Linked DNA regions of Saccharomyces cerevisiae S288C. The protein of the gene in region 3 purifies or fractionates together with the protein of the main gene of each other region. This does not show direct contact. Each region holds a gene or a part of one and is shown on either strand. Other genes may lie near its edges. The genes, in order: RIO2, DED1, YGR054W and KRE33.

The links.
Region 1: the proteins of YGR054W (region 3) and RIO2 purify together in Saccharomyces cerevisiae (affinity purification with mass spectrometry; 3 studies listed by BioGRID). This does not show direct contact.
Region 2: the proteins of YGR054W (region 3) and DED1 purify together in Saccharomyces cerevisiae (affinity purification with mass spectrometry, with the first as the bait; 3 studies listed by BioGRID). This does not show direct contact.
Region 4: the proteins of YGR054W (region 3) and KRE33 purify together in Saccharomyces cerevisiae (affinity purification with mass spectrometry, with the first as the bait; 2 studies listed by BioGRID). This does not show direct contact.

What each region holds. Positions count from the first base shown.
Region 1 is NC_001146.8:253,406-257,130, reverse strand, and holds RIO2 (protein kinase RIO2), read right to left. Parts: upstream 1,779-3,725; coding exon 501-1,778; downstream 1-500. Other genes in the region: RTT106 (Rtt106p), read left to right, coding at 1-343; YNL208W (uncharacterized protein), read right to left, coding at 2,114-2,713; Hsp70 family ATPase SSB2, read right to left, coding at 3,231-3,725. UniProt on the Saccharomyces cerevisiae protein: Required for the final endonucleolytic cleavage of 20S pre-rRNA at site D in the cytoplasm, converting it into the mature 18S rRNA. Involved in normal export of the pre-40S particles from the nucleus to the cytoplasm.
Region 2 is NC_001147.6:721,246-725,709, reverse strand, and holds DED1 (DEAD-box ATP-dependent RNA helicase DED1), read right to left. Parts: upstream 2,800-4,464; coding exon 985-2,799; downstream 1-984. Other genes in the region: GEP3 (Gep3p), read left to right, coding at 1-146; imidazoleglycerol-phosphate dehydratase HIS3, read right to left, coding at 3,102-3,764; MRM1 (Mrm1p), read left to right, coding at 4,002-4,464. UniProt on the Saccharomyces cerevisiae protein: ATP-binding RNA helicase involved in translation initiation. Remodels RNA in response to ADP and ATP concentrations by facilitating disruption, but also formation of RNA duplexes.
Region 3 is NC_001139.9:594,656-599,454, reverse strand, and holds YGR054W (translation initiation factor 2A), read right to left. Parts: upstream 2,763-4,799; coding exon 834-2,762; downstream 1-833. Other genes in the region: MUP1 (Mup1p), read right to left, coding at 1-38; MCO32 (Mco32p), read left to right, coding at 3,618-4,469; protein kinase FMP48, read right to left, coding at 4,750-4,799. UniProt on the Saccharomyces cerevisiae protein: Functions in the early steps of protein synthesis of a small number of specific mRNAs. Acts by directing the binding of methionyl-tRNAi to 40S ribosomal subunits.
Region 4 is NC_001146.8:373,048-378,991, reverse strand, and holds KRE33 (ribosome biosynthesis protein KRE33), read right to left. Parts: upstream 3,672-5,944; coding exon 501-3,671; downstream 1-500. Other genes in the region: TOM22 (Tom22p), read right to left, coding at 1-225; FYV6 (Fyv6p), read left to right, coding at 4,300-4,821; YNL134C (uncharacterized protein), read left to right, coding at 5,411-5,944. UniProt on the Saccharomyces cerevisiae protein: RNA cytidine acetyltransferase with specificity toward both 18S rRNA and tRNAs. Catalyzes the formation of N(4)-acetylcytidine (ac4C) at positions 1280 and 1773 in 18S rRNA.

The DNA.
Region 1 (3,725 bases), on a different chromosome or scaffold from region 3:
CGAGAAAAAGGCAGGTGTGTTTTCAGACGATGATGAAGAAAATGACCAAAATTTCGAAGCTGAGAGCGACCTTTCCGATGGGAGTGGCCAAGAATCCTCAGACGGTGCAGAAGACGGAGAGGAAGCAGAAGAAGATGATGAAGAAGACGATGAAGAGGAAGACAAAAAGGGCCAAAGCGCTTTGAATAGAGATAATAGTTTTGCTTCTATAAATGGTCAACCAGAACAGGAACTCCAATACAAAGAGTTTAAGGAGCCGTTAGAACTCGAAGATATTCCGATAGAAATTGATAATGATGACGATGAAGATGATGAGGATGGATCCGGAGTAGAATACGATTGACTTAGATTCGATATTATAATATAGCATGAATACGCATATGTAAGAGTTCATAAATACCACTTTTTTTATCCTGAAGAATAACATGGCTTAAAAATCAAAAAAATTATGGATAACAACTTGATTATTTGCGGCCATTTATGCAGTCGTCTAAACTAAACTACTCTAGTATATAGTTTCCTAGTTTATCCATTTTTAGATTTTCAACACCACTGGAAAGCGCCTCTATAATACGTTCGTTCTCCTCTTCTTGTGCATCTTCACTGTCATCTTCAGAACTTTCATTATCAAGTTCGGAGTCATAGTATTCATCCTCCTCTGAATAATCGCCCTCCCCATTTTCTTCTTCGGCCTCGTCATTAGACATATCGTCATCTGAATTATAAACAGCATTTCTCATGCTTTCAACGGCAGTTTCCAGGCCCCTATCTCCTGGATGCTTTTTGCTAAATCCGGAAGCCTGCACCAATTCATCCAAATTGTCGGTTCTTTTAACGTCCCTTTTGAAATCTGGATACGCATATTTATAACCATCGCCGAAACCTTCAGTGTCGAGCATTGATGAATCAGGTTTTGGTTCGTACTTCAGTTTCTTTTTGAAGAAACGACGAATACAGTCAACATCCCTTTGGAAATAATAGTCGGCGTCTTGGTGTTGAATAGATATACATTGTGGAAAATCAATAACTACGAACCCACAATCGTTTTCATCCTCTAGTTTGTCCTTTATCATAATATTAAACTCATTAAAATCACAATGGATAAGTCCGCTATTTGCTAGATCAACGATGAAACACATCAGATCACTATAAAGCTTGGGTATATTCTTATGTTTTCTTAATCTCCTCATTGGGTAACCCTCGATAAGCTCCATAACGACTATATGACGCGAGTTATCGAATGGCTCAGGGACCTTGAAACCCTTAGAATAAAGCATGGACATAAACTGATATTCTTTATTGGCTGCCAAACGTGAAAGATGCATCCAGTTTGCCCCCTGGTTGGATTTCTTCAGATAATCTCTATTATTTCTGACGGAATGAAAAGAGGTTCTACCTAATCTGTGAATTTTCATTACTCTAGGGTTTCCATTTTTGTCACTTACTTTATAGATGTCAGATTCCTTACCAACACCAATAGTGTTACCGACAGAATAGACAGTGTCTCTGTTTAACATGGTTTTCAAAGCCAAATAATCAATACCGTTATAAGTTAGCCTGTAACCATCATATTTGACATTTCTCATTTTGGAAATAAGGCTAAGCTTGGCCAAATCACTAATGGCTCGGTTTGTTCCGGACTGCGATCTCATCCCCGAGATTTGATGAATCAAGGGAGTTGGAACGACTTCGTGACTTCTAGAACCTTGTTCAACGGCCTGGAGGACACGAAAATCATCAGTTGTCAAATATCTCATATGAGAAGTATCCAATTTCATTCTAGTCTGATTGAAAGTATGTGGTAGAAGAGATGTTTAAAATAGTATTGATTGGTCAATAGAAAGACGAGCCAAGGATAAATGGTTTAATATTATTGAGTAGTTCTTACTTTAAGCTAATTACTGATGATCCTTGACCTTACCAAAATCATGAATTGCGGGTTCCAACTTCAACAGAGAACCTCATCGCCAAATTTTTAGCTTATTTTTTCACGTTTTCTTTTCTCGAATAAGTCATTTGTTACGACATCATAATAAAACGAGTAGTATATATGTATATATAGATAAATCAAGTATGTAGTTAGCTAAAAATGACACTCACTCTGTTGAGCCATTCACCAACGTGAACCGCCATTGAATCCTTGACGACCTTGGCCCCCGAATTCCTGAGGGTTTGGACCACCGAATCCTTGGCCACCTGGCCCGCCGAATTCTTGAGGATTTGGACCACCGAATCCTTGGCCACCTGGACCACCAAACTCTTGTGGACCAGGACCTCCAAATCCTTGTGGGCCTTGTCTTCCGAAACCTTGACCGCCAGGGCCGCCTGGACCGCCAAATCCACCGTTATTGTTGTTATTGTCCTGACGGTGATGGTTGTTGTGTCCACCTTGAGGAGCACCTCCGAAGTTTGAGTTGCCGTATTGCTCTTGTTGCTTATGCTCTTTACGCTCATCAGATATCTTGTTGGCAAGGAATGCACCACCTATGGCGCCCAGCACACCACTCAACTTAGAATGGTTGTTCGACACCTTAGATCCAGCGTACGCACCGGCACTGCCACCTACAATAGTGGAAAATAAACCACGTTCACCGTTGGGGTTACCATTGTCGGCACCATATTGACCGTTGTTTGGAGCACCAGTTCTTTCTTGGTTGTTTTGCTGGTTATATTGACCTTGTTGGCCACTTGAGTAGAATTCGTTTGCAGACATTTTGGACACTTGTTAGATTGTCTTAAGTGATCTATATTTGGAAGGCTTACAAGTGTTTAGCAAGACAAATTAAAGTCTTTCTTTATAAATGACTGCTCAGATTGAGTTTTTTGCCAAGCCCAACAGCCAGCCCCTTTTCCGGTATGGGCTGTGCGGGTGCCGGAATTATTAATACTGAATATTAGCCCACGCCTCATTTTTAGCATGAACGAAGAATGCTAGCGGGGCGAAATGCGAATACAGTAAAAACTCCACATGGTTGTTTTATGCAGCCGAAAAGCAGTTTCATACGTGCCACAGCTTTGGGCAGCCAGAAAAGTTGCCTTAGTATGTTGGTGTGTATCAGTCAAACACTCGTTTGATGCCTCAAGAGGGGAAACAGAAGAATAATTGAATTTATGATTGTATGATATCTTGATCGTGATATACAGAACTAAAACTTCATCTAAGATACAAAAGCTAAGACATTAAAAATGAAAAATATATATATGTGTATAACCTTAACCAGAATGACATCTTAACGAGAAGACATGGCCTTGGTGACAACTCTCTTCAAACCAACTTCTGCCTTTCTCAACTCATCAGCGGATGGGTCTTCGATTTGCAAAGCAGCCAAAGCATCGGACAAAGCAGCTTCGATCTTGGACTTGGAACCTCTCTTCAATTTAGAAGACAAGACTGGGTCAGTGACGGTTTGTTCGATGGAAGCGACGTAGGATTCTAGTCTTTGTCTAGCTTCGTGCTTCTTAGCAAAAGCTTCATCAGCAGCCTTGAACTCTTCGGCTTGGTTAACCATCTTTTCAATTTCTTCAGAAGACAATCTACCGACAGCGTTGGAGATAGTGATGTTAGAAGACTTACCGGTAGACTTTTCGACGGCAGTAACCTTCAAGATACCGTTAGCATCAACTTCGAAGATAGCTTCCAAGACTGGTTCACCAGCTGGCATCATTGGGATGTTCTTCAAGTCGAATTCACCCAACAAAGTGTTTTCTTTACAGTTGACACGTTC
Region 2 (4,464 bases), on a different chromosome or scaffold from region 3:
CTGATACTTTGAACGCAGTGAAGAAGTCGTATTTAGAAAAAACCGAGAAAGATTTATCTGCTAGAAGATTTGTCGACGATGATCCTTATGATTTGGTTCAACACCTAGAAAAAAAAAAGAATCCCTATTGGTACTACCAATGGTAAGACTCGCTGTTCACTTGGTTGCACCAATAAGTAGTAACGCACATGTAAATATGAATGTAAGTAAACTAAAAAGAAAGTTGGGAACAAAGTATATTCAAAAACGAATATACAGGAAATAAGCAATAGAAAGTATTATGAATTATACTGTTGATGTTTATTCTATCTACAAAACACAAATAAAGTAGAGTATAAGGCGAGTCAATAAAAAGGCCTCAACTCAAAAAAGGGAGAGAAAATGTAGGAAGGAAATGAATACTATTATACAATGGTACTGTGAACAGTAAGAATATTTTCGTAAGGTAAAAAGAAACAATAACAAACAAAAAAGGTCGAAAAAACTGTTCAAAATAAAGTCTCTATTCGAAGAAAACTGAAAAAGTGGAAGTGGAAATAAAAGATAATGTAAATAATCAGTCCAATGAATAGATCGGTTAAAGCAATTAAGCAAAAATAGTGGAAAATATAGTAAAAGTAGATAATAATTCCTTCATCTTTTCACTAAAAGATGAAAATCTTAATTGCTTATAATCATAGTGAAATCTTTAGTTTTTTAGTTAATATTAGCAAAGGCATTTTATAGTACAATTGTAAAATAATATTAGAACCATGAAAGAAAAAAAAAACAAAAAAACGATGGATAAAAAATAAGAGTGGAAAAAAAGTAACAGATTAGTGGCTCCCAGTGAGAAAATAAAAAAAATATGGGGCCAATCAACGGCTAGAGAGAAACAAACAACACAGTATTTTCAGGACTTGGATAAAAAAAGTGATTGGAGAAAGAAAATATAAGACATGCTAGAGCAGAAAACGAAGAATCCTCACCCTAGTTTGTCTGAAATCACCACCAAGAAGAGTTGTTTGAACCACCGCTGTTACCCCAGCCAGAAGACTTGGAATCGCTACCCCAGCCACTACCGCCTCTGAAAGAGTTATCTCTGCTTCTTGAAGAGCCCCAGCCGCCTGCGCTAGCGCCTCCGGCCTTACGGTAATCTCTGTTGTTGTTGCGACCGAAACCGCCTCTACGGCTGTTGCTTCTGCTACCTGGAGCACTCATCATAGCGTCCTTCAAGAATGATGGGACTTCTTGGTTAGCTTCAGTCAAAATTTCATGCAAACCTTTAACAATGTTACTGTTTTCACTGTTGAAAAAGGCAGTGGCAAGACCGGTGTTACCGGCACGACCAGTTCTACCAATTCTATGGACGTAATCATCGACATCACTTGGTAAATCGTAGTTGATAACGTGGGTGACGTTTGGAATATCTAGACCTCTAGCTGCGACAGCTGTGGCAACCAATAAAGTAGCGGCACCAGATCTGAAGGCGGCCAAGGCACGTTCTCTCTCAGATTGGGTACGGTCACCATGAATGGCGGTAGCTCTAAAGTTTTGCATGATCAGGAAATCGGTCAATTGATCTGCCATTCTCTTAGTTTCGACAAAGATCAAAGTCAAACCGTCAGTGGATGCAGACAATAGATCCAATAAGGCTGACTTCTTATCTTGATTTTCAACGTATAAGACTTTTTGAGTAATGTTTTCTGAAGTAGAACCGACTCTACCAACAGACAAAAAGATGTAGTCACTTAAGAAATCACGGGCCAAATGTTGGATATCAGCGGGAAAAGTAGCTGAGAACATCAGAGTTTGTCTTTCACCAACAGGAGTCATATCACAGTCTTCGACAATATGTCTAATTTGAGGTTCGAAACCCATATCCAACATTCTATCAGCTTCATCTAGAACCAAATACTTGACGTTGGCCAAAGAAATTTTACCACGTTCCAACAAGTCATTCAAACGACCTGGAGTAGCGACTAAAAGATCGCAACCACGTTCAATTTCTCTTAGTTGGTTACCAATTGGAGAACCACCGTAGACGACGCAGGCCTTGACCCAGGATCTATAAGTAAATTTCTTGGCTTCATCGAAAATTTGGGTGGCCAACTCTCTAGTTGGAGCCATAATGACAGCAGTTGGGTAGGCCTTTCTTTGGTAAAAGGAGCCTTGAGACTCTGGTTGAGGAGATGGTCCAGTCTTAAATGATTCGGACAACACTGGGAATAAAAACCCACCAGTCTTACCAGAACCGGTCTGCGCACAGGCCATCAAATCTCTGCCGTTGGCAACGATAGGGACGGAGTATTTTTGCACAGGTGTTGGCTTGGTGAAACGGGCCAATTTGATGTTTTCCAATAACAATCCGTCCAATGGAGGTGAGGTAAATTCTGTGATTGGTTCAGGAACATCCTTACCAGAGGCGTCCACTGGAATATCATCGTAGTTATCGAAGTTAATACCAGAAGATTGGAAATTTGGATCCTCGGGGACACCAAATATGGCGATCTCGGCCTTTTCGTTTCTTGGAGCTGGGACATGTTTGCCATCGATCCATCTACCACCAGAACGGCCGTTAGATCTGCTGCCACCGTTGTTTCCACCGAAGAAACCACCGTTGCCGTAACCACCACGACGGTTGTTGCTAAAGAAGCTGCCACCGCCACGGCCACCGTTGTAGCCGCCGTTGTTGTTATTGTAGTTGCTACTGTTATTTCTGGCACTTCTTGGTTTTCCTCTTAAGTGAGGAGGAACATAACCATTCTCGTTGTTGTCGTTGATGCTTAAATTTTGCACTTGTTCGCTCAGTTCAGCCATAATATGAAATGCTTTTCTTGTTGTTCTTACGGAATACCACTTGCCACCTATCACCACAACTAACTTTTTCCCGTTCCTCCATCTCTTTTATATTTTTTTTCTCGAGTTCAAGAGAAAAAAAAAGAAAAAGCAAAAAGAAAAAAGGAAAGCGCGCCTCGTTCAGAATGACACGTATAGAATGATGCATTACCTTGTCATCTTCAGTATCATACTGTTCGTATACATACTTACTGACATTCATAGGTATACATATATACACATGTATATATATCGTATGCTGCAGCTTTAAATAATCGGTGTCACTACATAAGAACACCTTTGGTGGAGGGAACATCGTTGGTACCATTGGGCGAGGTGGCTTCTCTTATGGCAACCGCAAGAGCCTTGAACGCACTCTCACTACGGTGATGATCATTCTTGCCTCGCAGACAATCAACGTGGAGGGTAATTCTGCTAGCCTCTGCAAAGCTTTCAAGAAAATGCGGGATCATCTCGCAAGAGAGATCTCCTACTTTCTCCCTTTGCAAACCAAGTTCGACAACTGCGTACGGCCTGTTCGAAAGATCTACCACCGCTCTGGAAAGTGCCTCATCCAAAGGCGCAAATCCTGATCCAAACCTTTTTACTCCACGCACGGCCCCTAGGGCCTCTTTAAAAGCTTGACCGAGAGCAATCCCGCAGTCTTCAGTGGTGTGATGGTCGTCTATGTGTAAGTCACCAATGCACTCAACGATTAGCGACCAGCCGGAATGCTTGGCCAGAGCATGTATCATATGGTCCAGAAACCCTATACCTGTGTGGACGTTAATCACTTGCGATTGTGTGGCCTGTTCTGCTACTGCTTCTGCCTCTTTTTCTGGGAAGATCGAGTGCTCTATCGCTAGGGGACCACCCTTTAAAGAGATCGCAATCTGAATCTTGGTTTCATTTGTAATACGCTTTACTAGGGCTTTCTGCTCTGTCATCTTTGCCTTCGTTTATCTTGCCTGCTCATTTTTTAGTATATTCTTCGAAGAAATCACATTACTTTATATAATGTATAATTCATTATGTGATAATGCCAATCGCTAAGAAAAAAAAAGAGTCATCCGCTAGGTGGAAAAAAAAAAATGAAAATCATTACCGAGGCATAAAAAAATATAGAGTGTACTAGAGGAGGCCAAGAGTAATAGAAAAAGAAAATTGCGGGAAAGGACTGTGTTATGACTTCCCTGACTAATGCCGTGTTCAAACGATACCTGGCAGTGACTCCTAGCGCTCACCAAGCTCTTAAAACGAGAATTAAGAAAAAGTCGTCATCTTTCGATAAGTTTTTCCCACAGCAAAGCAATAGTAGAAAAAAACAATGGGAAACGTTGAATGAAGACAAAGCGTCGTGGTTTAAAAGGAAATACGCTCACGTACATGCTAGGGAACAGGACCGTGCAGCGGATCCATATGGCAAGAAAAAGGCCCACGTCGAGAAGCTAAAGGAGATCAAGAATCAGGCGAAATTAAACCAAAAGAGCCATAAATCCAAGTTCCAGAATAAGGACATTGCTCTGAAACTTATGAATGATAATCCTATCTTCGAATATGTCTACGGCACCAACAGCGTTTATGCAGCGTTGCTGAACCCGAGTAGAAATTGCCATTCTCGGTTGCTGTACCATGGCACTATTCCTA
Region 3 (4,799 bases):
ACATTCAACTGTGACAGAAACGTTCTTCCTTCCGACATTGCTCCGCCTTTGTTTTCTCTTCTCTTGTCTTTAAAGATTTCTACAGAATGTGAAACTAATCCAAAAACAAAATATGATGAACAGCGGAAAAGTTTGTGTGAGAATCATCCTTATATATATATACTGTATGTAATCTTACATCACCATATGAAAATAACGGGCTGACTCAAGAAATTCACCGCCAAGTAGGAGGAACCACATTTGTAATGCAAGACTGTGTTATGTGTTACCATGGTGTGCAATAACTGCGAAGGTAGCACCGCTTGAGTCAACTGTGGCAGTTTATTAGATGCCACTCGAGTGTGGTGAACGGCAATTCCACAGTCTAACTTTTCAGTTGGCGCCGTGCCATCTCCTGGCTGCTAGGCCGATCTGTTATACAAAACCCTACACGGCGCCGTTTCTTTTTTTTTTTTCTTTTTCTGTGGCAAAGCGGCGACAGCGACGCTAAAAAAAACTGTGGTGGCGGATGCAGCGCCGGCTTACGGAGCCGAAGTGACACTCCATATTCATTTATTGCCTGGCGGTATCGTGGCATACATTGTAAGATGCGGCTGGTGGCAATCCGCCAAGAAGAGACGTAAAAATAAGGAAAATGCTCACTAATTATGTATGTATCAATTACTATTTGATGTTAAAAAAATATGTGGAAAAGTACAATAAAACAAGGGAAAAAAAGAAAGGGGGGAGGTTGGCGTAATTCTCCTGGGAAACAGTAAAAAACAATTCAAAGTAGTATTATTTGACGTTGTTAATATTTACACAGTTGTATGGATACATCAGTTTCTTCTAGTTTATTCATCCTTCCAACCCAACTTTTCCAAATCTTTCAACACTTTTTCTTCAGTTTGAATTTTTAGAACTTGCGTATCTTCTAGTTTGTCACCGACGGCCTGTCTTTCCTTCAAGGTTTCAATAGCCCTTAATTTCTTTAGTAAAGATCTTATTTTCTTCTCCTCTGGAGAAGTTTCTTTATTGTTTGTGGGGGCATTTGTGGAGGCAGGAGCAGATGGGGCCGGAGTAGAATCAGGTGACGTTTCACTTGACTTTTTATTGGCTCTTCTTCTCCTGTTCTTGGTGTTGGCGTCCTTGTTGGCACTCATGCCCGGAACTAGCCCTGGGATGGTCTTCTTTGCTGCACCAGGAGGAACTCCGGGGACAATACGTCCACCGCCTGTTCTTCTTGCGTGAGGTGGTTTATAAGCGCCTCCAGCTTTGGCCTTAGATCCGTTTCCATTGGAGCTTGCTTCTCTGCTTGGGTGTTGACTTATGTACTCTTGAACGCTAGAATGTATTTGCAATTCTGATTTATTGGATATTTTAGGATCAAGTGAAGATGTGGTCGAATCAGGTAGCGGTTCCCAGTTATTAATGATATGGTTCTCGAAAAATGCTTCGTCTTTGTTTTCCAAAGTTTTGTAATTACATGGTGACCTCCAGTCTACCTTCAAAAGCTCCTTGAACTCTTTAACAAATACTAAAGAGCCTGATACATGCCATATTTTAACGCCGTTATCCACTCTCAATCTTGGTGAAGTGGTAGCTGTCATGATAAATTCTCCACCCGGTGACCATTTGCAGACAGAAGTGTTGGTAGCGTCAAATTTACTCACACACTTGAATTTGTCGAGACGATCTAGGATTTCCACGGAGCCCTGTAAATTACCAAACCCGGCGATAAGAATGTAATGACCAGAGGGAGAGAAAAGCATGGTATTTTTGGCTTGTTGAGGTAATGAATGGACAACATTACCTCTTAAGTCAAAAAAGGAAATGGTTGCTGGCATGTAACCAGCGATGACACCGAATTGCCTTGAAGTTGGCGACCAAGTGAAATCGTGGACAGGTCCAGTGGTTAAAGAAACACGTACAGAGTTACCACCCAAAGTCCCGTTGACACCTTGGAAAGACAGTAAGTATAGTGTGTTTTCACCATAATATGATTTGTTTGAGGAATCAAAATCAGTAATAGCTAAACATAAAATAGCATTACCTAATGGATTCCATTTCAATTGGCAGGAATCAGCTTTAAAGAAAGTTTTGGAGGCAATTTTCTTGGTGATTTTACCTTCAGAGAGGGCCCATATGATTAATTGAGCCGGTTTACCACCCTTTTCTGGTGTGAAAGTACAAATTGTTGGATGTTCAGCTGGAGAGATTAGGTAGGTGGTGAAATGTTGGGACGTTTCATCATCAGACAAGACAGCAAACGGAGATTGGAAGTCGAAATTGTCGGCATTAGCGGAGCTTAATTTAACAATCTTCAAGTCGTGTTTAAAAAGTCTTAGCCCATAATTGTCTAATTTGGAGAATTGTAAAAACCAACCGCTTTGGGATTTGGCTTGATATTCGTAAGCAGGGACTATATCCTCCGAAACGCAATCTTTCTTAAATGGTTTATTCAAATACCAAACTTTAACGTTCTTGTGATTTGGGTCTTGTATAGACGCTCTCTCCCAAGTGCTTAAGTAGTTACCTGCTGGAGAGAAGTGTAGGTCATAGACGTCGGACAACTTCATTGTTAATAGAACGTTATCCAAACATGGACCTGTAAAAACTTTGACGTTCTCCTTCGTAGATAAAGCCAAAAATCTGCCACATGGCGATAAAACCGAGGAAATGACAGGGAAATCCTTGGAGTTTGTGTTGGATTGCTCAAAAGTTGGGTAGCTTTGGAAGAGCTCTATATCCTGAGAGGTTTTCAGGAAAAACTGAGATGACATAATGTTTAGGTGTTATTGAACCTGACTGTTTGTTGTAGTACTATGTTTTTTTATCGAGATGCAATGGATAGTTTAAACACAACACGTCTCAATCAACACTAAAGAAAGTTATGATTCGGTAATCTATAGGTTGCTTCTACCGTAAAGAATTCTCGCTATGTCTAGTCGTCTGGATAGATCGAGGAAAAGGAATCTTCATTGAATAACGTACACTGAAAATAAATCGCTATGAAGCTGAAATTTCATTGATGGACATGAAGAAAGCGAAGTGAAAAAAAGGAAGAAAAAGAAAGTATTGAGGAACATTCTGCGGTCGGGTAATAATATCGTACAGTATGACAGCGGCAATTTTTAATAATATTTCTGCTCACTAATAAAGTAAAGAATATAAAGAAAGGACCTTAATCTAAGATAGATGTTACTTTTTCATCTTGCAGTTTTAACACATAGAACCGAGTCTAAACATATTGAAATATTTCGATTTCTTTTGTACGAGTGCTATAAAAATGGGAAAGAACTAAAAAAAATAGGACACAACATTAACTGCCTGAGTTTCTTGAGGAAAATATTAAAAGAAATATTAGTTAAATAAATAGATTTGGTGAGATGTATTTCTATACACTGAAAGACATTCATACGCATCTCATGATGAGTCGAGCGCCTTGCGTTAAGAAGGCGCGTAGTTACGGTTACGAAAAAAATGAATAGAATACAATGTAGAGAGCGCCCTTAAAAGGCCCATAAAGAGGGATGACAGGTATGAGCCATAAAGCTGCAAGCCTCTACGGAAAACGATACATCACAACCAAGGAAAGATAGACAGTTTATATTCATAGATAATAGGGGGAAAGACTTATGTTACTAAAGTGTGTTTGCAGAGCCGGCATAATATCTATCAAAGGAATCTTTCCTCGATGGTACTCCAATTCTCAAAAAGTGGCCAATTTGGGGCAAATAACAGATTATTTAGTGGTTAAAGGTGTTCCCAATTTGTTACAAAAAATGTTCAAGGAGTCAGTGTTGGCGGATAACGTTGTTTTTAGACTATTTCCAACATCGCATCCATATATTCCAGTGTTACATGGAAAATCAAAATACATGGCTTCTTTGAATGCAATGCGAATGATAGTACGAAAGTTTATCTTGGGCGATGAATGTCGCTTGCATATAAGTTCAGTAAAGACTCTAACATCGACATCGCATGATGAAGAAGTTAAATCTGCTCTTCAGAGTTATAATACCATAACATGTAATGACAAATTGGTGATCAAATGGCAAAGCTGCATACCGGAAGACCATTGCAAGATTACCAAATTAGAAATTAATGACAGATTGAAAGAGGAGAAACGAGGCAATGGTGCAGGCGGTTCATTTTCAATGAGGTCGGTACCAGTCATAGACTACATTTTACATCCTACAGCCAATAATTTGAACCAAAGTGTTATCTCTGAGTACCTTGAAAATGCAGCTGAAAGGTCAATGGAAAATAAGGTCAACGAAACTCAAAATTCCAAAGAAGATGAGAAGAAGAAAAATGATGGCGACGGTAAAAGAAGTAAAAAAAAGAGATTATCCCGGCTGATTAAGGGAACATTCATATTCGAATTTAACGAAGAAAATTCGAAAATTCTGGTTCATACCATTGAAGATGTTGAACTGATCCATTACGAGAAGAAAATTGCCACTCGCGGTGCATTTGCATGTTAATACGATATACAAGAATTAGATAGCATCTTTATTTGTAAATAATAAACACACCATCATAAACATCACCATCAACCTTGCACAGGAGAAAAAAGGAATAAAAAGGATAAATTGATTATGATTATTTTTTAAAAAAATGAATATGTAATATTATTTTATGTCGATTAGGTAGTATGTAATACTGAAATTATGCCAAAGTTCCTAACTAAAATTGGATAAGCAGGGGATAAAAAGTCAGATCAAGGAAAATGAGGCGAAACTTTCAAAAGGTCTTTTTTACTTCTTATTTTCCATCTTGAATTAGGCAAGGTTTCTCAAAATTTTTCAATTGGA
Region 4 (5,944 bases), on a different chromosome or scaffold from region 3:
TTGTCTCTTACCTGGGGGGACAATGTCTTTTAAAGCAACGATTCTGTCCAACAATGTTTCATTTTCATCAAATTCATCTTCAAAATCACTATCAGAGTCATCTTCATCATCGACAACGTCGTTGTTTGTTGCAGAAGCCTTTTCTTCCACGATGGCCTGATTTCTGGAAAATTGTGGTTCGTCTAATTGAACGACATCGTCTTTAATTTCAGTTAATTCGACCATTTGAATGATGCTTATTTTGGGGTATATAGTTCCGTTTTGACCTCTTTGGTTACTTCGTATTACTCCAAAAGTTACTCACTACGGAGTGGAGTATGTTGATTGAAATTGTCTAAAACGGGTTCAGTTTTCGCCGGCATAATCGTAATACTTATATCGCTCGACACGATTGAAAGGAATATGTAAAGGTTCAAACATCAACTATGTTTCTATTCTATATTATTGTACAAATTAAGTAAACGTTTAGCTATAAAAGGGTTTGACAAAGAGTAGAACGCTTAATTTGCAGCCTTTTTAGACTTTCTTGGTTTTTTCATAGCTTTCATCTCTTGTCTATAGATATCTTCAGCCTTTTCAGTCGTTCTCTTTTTACCAGTTTTTAAACTGACGACGCCTTTGGCCTTGGCAGCTATTTCTAAAGATTTTTGAGATTCAGCCCATTCCTCACTGTTATCATTTATGGCGTATTTATCTAAGTTCAAGGAGTTGATTAGCTCTTTTTGTTTTTCCCTCATCGCCTGAACGGCTTCAGAACCGGCTTCTTCTAAATCTTCTTCCATTTGGTCCAGTGCTTCTGCAGCGTTGTAATTTTTGATTTCTTCACCATCCATTTCAGCAATAGCATCATCTTTGATATTTGGTAGAGTTTCTTCAATTGATTGGCTTAACAGCTGACGGAAGTACTGAGACATTTTTCTCATGATCTTCGCAAACATAGCAATAGTTTGATTGGAAGGTAAATTCAATTCCTTGGCAATAGTGTCGATGTTTTTACGCTGTAACCCTATAGCCAACAGGATAGCACTCTGGACGCTTGATAGTTTTACTGAATCTCCCATTTTATCGCCGAAGTACAAAAGAGCAAGCATGGGTATCATATCACCGATAACGTGATAATCTAGCAAATTATTTGAGTAGCTATCCAATCTTTTCAAGTCAAATGGAGAAAAAATGTCATCCAGATGCGTCCGCGTCAATTCTTTATTATCATGCTTTTCGTCATCAGACAAATCTTGTGCTTTCTTACTACTTTCAATGACACTTAAGGCTTGAACGGCAGTAAACTTATGAAAATCATAAGAAAGAAGCGACAGAAATCTTTTACGGAAATCTTTGGCAAATTCAACGAGCCAGTTTGATTCTCTGCCTTCCAAAACGTTCAACATAACACAAGTATGTTCACCAGTTAAATCGTTTGCGGTTTGACGTAAATAAACAGGAACAAAGCTGTTATTCTTCCAGAATTTATGCAACGATTGCGTTAAACCATATGAAACACCCAAATAATGTAGATAATGAGGAGGCTGTTCAGAAAGTTTTAATAGTAGAGGTGGCAACGTTTTTGCGTCTCTTAATTTAACGTCATCCTTTAATAAATTAGTTTTGGCCAGTTCCTTATCGCTCACCCTCTTTATAGAATAATCCTTAGGACGAACATCTTCAGACATGTCAGTGAATTTACCCTCGAAATAGTCTCTCAGTAATTCAATTGCACGAGAACCATAGCCCATGGATGCGTATTCAGGATTAGTGGCAATTCTGACGATACGAGCACCACTCAAACTAGCGAATTCCTCGTCTTGGAATTGTTGAGAGATCAGCCATGGGATTAAATCACCACCAGCTCTTTGGCCTCTCGATAATGAATTTCTGACACTCTCCTTACTGATTTCACCTTCCAATGCAATTTGAATGACACATAGAGGGTCAGGGATCCTGCCGCCATCCTTTGGATCAATTGGTGGTAAAAGAACAAATAGTTTGTGCGCTGGGGCGTCACTCATCAGTTGTAAGTCGTTTGGAGAATTCTTGTAATGGGATGAAACGTACAGTGCCATCATTTTTTCCAGGAAATTTTCTGAGACAGGATGATAAGAAAATAGAGTATCTCTATTGACAACAAATAGATTACATTGGGATGGGTGAGGAGTTCCTCTTGTTGCAAATCTTGGGTTTTTAATTAAAGTAACATCTAAACATAAGAGCTTGTTTAACCATTTTTCAATTGGGTCACCAGGAGCATATCTGATTGGTTCGTCCAAGGAAATTTCACGTAATTGACGGGATTGAGAATGTAAGTGAGAGTCTTTTTCCTTATTATCTCTCGAAACAACGGCGGTTTGAGTACTTTCCCGACCGGATGTGTTGTTTTGATTACGCAATTGCTGAATTAACTTCAGAGATAAAGATCTACCCGTACCTTCGTAACCATTGATAGTGGATGCCATGAAGACTAGATATGGGCCCAGCAAGTTCTTGACGATTGGCAAAGGAATAGCTGCAGCTTCATCAATGACAACTAATTCAGCTTGGCCCAGAACTTGATGGTCTTGAGGAACAATATATTGAATCGTTTGTCTGTGATCTCTTTTAATATCAACTCTCACAATGGCTTTGTTGAAGTCGGGGTTCGTAGATTGAATGATATCATAATCAATGTGTTCTTGGTAACCTAAGGCATCGAATCCTTTGAAAATAAACTCAAATAGAGTCTTTAAATTTTCGGGAGATGGAGAAGTAACAAAAATATTAGAATACCCGTGAGAAACGGCCGCGGCAATAGAAATACCTAAAGCAGCAGACTTACCTCTACCTCTTCCAGCTGTTAGTGCAACTGTGAAATTCAAAGTTTTTTCCGAAATGGCATCAATGAAAGAAAGAATAGCGTGGGCTTGATTGACAGTTTTGGATAGAGAAACCAATGAACCAGCTGGTTGGACATCTTCTAAGGATTCTTTTAATTCTTGCAACTCTAATTGCTTTGGAGGCAATTCGTCATCTTCCTTAGGAGGTAGTGGTTTCACGTTTTTGGCACCAGATAGCGGTAGAACATTTAATTCATCATCAACGACTAAACAGTTTGGATTTGAACCTAAAGAAAGTATGAATCTTTCGTTAAATCTTGCAACAACGTCACCATGAGCCTCAGTACGATAACGGGCGTGAACATCCATAGTCATGGTGTACAGTTGCTTTAACGATGACATTGATTTCAATAAAATAACCACAATACCACCACCTTCTACAGTTTCAATGGTTCTTGCTAAAAGATTTGGGGTTAATGCCTCGAAGTCCTGAAGAATACACATACCATAGGTATTACCCAATATTTTCTCACTCTCTTTGTAGTATACATATCTGATATTTTGGTTAGAGATAAAAGATTCAAAAGGGTCCATTTCATTCACTTCCCTTGTACCTCTTTTAATTTCTTTCTTAATTTTATTCTCTCTTTTTTTTCTGTGCGAAGTGAATCCTAGAAGCTTCTTCTTATAAGCCCATAAGACGGACTTGTTCATCTTAAGGTCAGCACTCATCATCAAATAATGTAAATTTGGGAGCTGGTTACGTGCCCTGTCCCCAACGATGACAAATATGGACCTTTGTTTGGTTTGAACACCATTCCTGATCAGTGACGGGATTCTTGAATCGATAGCTTTTTTGGCCATTTTCTCCTTGTTTTATAAGTCTCTTATAAGTCTTTGCAAGTTAAAAACTAAGAAATATAAAAGGTGACTTGGCTTATATACTCTATTGCGTACTTTATTTGAGATAAATACAGAATCTCCATGCATCTTCAGCACCTCATCTCATCTCATTGTATCTTGGCTCTTCATTTTTTTTTTTCAAAATTTTTCACACGATTCCGGGTAAACTATTACTTTTTACAACTAATTCAGATATACCTGGGAAGTTACAATGGAAAACATGCAATGTTCGGTCTGGCTTGTATCATTTGATTGGAAAAGCGAGCATCGGTTGATACTGAACACATCCACATGCGTAATCATTAAAAAAAATTTTTCAAATTGCGAACTCTGTGGATCGAACACAGGACCTCCAGATGACTTGACCGAAGTTTTTCTTCAGTCTGGCGCTCTCCCAACTGAGCTAAGTCCGCTTATTTTTCTGAAACCTTTTCCGCCTTTTTGTCGTCCCTAGGAATTACTTTTGATGCACTGCCAATCTGAGGGAAAAATGACGTTTAAACGCACGAGAATGTGCAATTAGATGTAAGTCCATCGAAGCCTAGAGAAAGCGGTTCCAACAAAAGACTGTGGGCTCTGTTATATCATCATGTCATCTACCAGTGATAATAATGCTAATAGTGCAAGAGAGAAAAAACCACTGAAATTCGTGTCAGAAGGAGTTGGTAATGTAGAGGCCCAGAGGATACGAGAGCAAGTGGAGCAAAAAAAATATGAAGCGGAATATAAAAGGAAAACCAGGAAGTCCCTGCGAGATCAGCTTAGGTCTAATGCTATTAGTAAACAAAAACAATATAACGGTTTGGTGAGAGACCGTGAAAGTTTTACTAGGTTGAGTAAAGAGGACCTGGAATTTTACCAGAAGAGCAAGAATGAGTTGCTAAAAAAGGAAAAAGAACTGAATAACTACTTAGACGTCAAGGCAATCAATTTTGAAAAGAAAAAAAAAGCATTACTAATGGAGAACGATTCTACTACTAATACAGAAAAATATTTAGAGACCGGCACTAGTTTGGGCAGTAAAACACAAATAAAGGGCGTAAAGACATCCAGCCCTAAACCAAAAATCAAGGTATCCATAAAAAAATTGGGTAGAAAACTGGAGAACTGATGTGATGGCCTACACACTTCGTCACAACTAGAGCTTTATGCCAAGATTAAACTTCAAGTTATATAAATTATGTAAACATTGGACATACAAAACTCGGAAACTCTTTTTCTATTCATCTTCCCTTCTCGTACGTGCCCACGGAAGCAATAAAAAGAACCGAAATAACCAACACCCGTAACGTCAAAGCATTCATGCTTAGAATGGAAACCATTTCGTGGAATGAAATGGCAAATTGATCACATTGATTGCTCGTTCCACTACCTGTGTCCGCAATTTTTTAATGGTCATCACAGCCCCTGCTGACTAAAGTTCCTCGGATCCGCTTACGGTTGTCGCGCGGTTCCGCCCCTGCGTACTCTTAGTACCTAGCATATGGGCTCCCTCCGTTGGATTGGCATCGATTAGTAAGGACAGATGTTAAGGATTTAAGACCGTTTTTAAGGTATTTCGGCAATGCTTCGATTTAAAAGGAGAGAGTTTTTTTTTTGCCGTTTTCTTCCTCTCACTTCTTGATTAGTACTGTAATTCTAGTTGAAAAAAAATCGTTAACTATACACAGCAAAAAGCAATATCATACTGCATATCAAGCATGTCCGCCTCGATTCCAGAAACCATGAAAGCCGTTGTCATTGAAAATGGCAAGGCTGTAGTCAAACAGGACATTCCAATTCCTGAATTAGAAGAAGGATTTGTTCTAATTAAGACTGTCGCCGTTGCCGGTAACCCTACCGATTGGAAACATATTGATTTCAAGATTGGTCCTCAAGGTGCCCTCTTAGGCTGTGATGCAGCCGGCCAAATCGTAAAGTTGGGCCCAAATGTTGATGCTGCACGCTTTGCCATTGGTGATTACATTTATGGGGTTATTCACGGTGCTTCAGTGAGGTTCCCCTCAAACGGTGCCTTTGCTGAGTACTCTGCCATTTCATCCGAGACTGCTTATAAACCAGCCAGAGAGTTTAGATTGTGCGGTAAAGACAAGCTACCAGAAGGCCCCGTAAAATCTTTAGAAGGGGCAGTATCCCTCCCAGTCTCATTGACCACGGCTGGTATGATCCTTACACATAGTTTTGGCTTGGACATGACATGGAAGCCCTCCAAAGCGCAAAGAGATCAACCCATC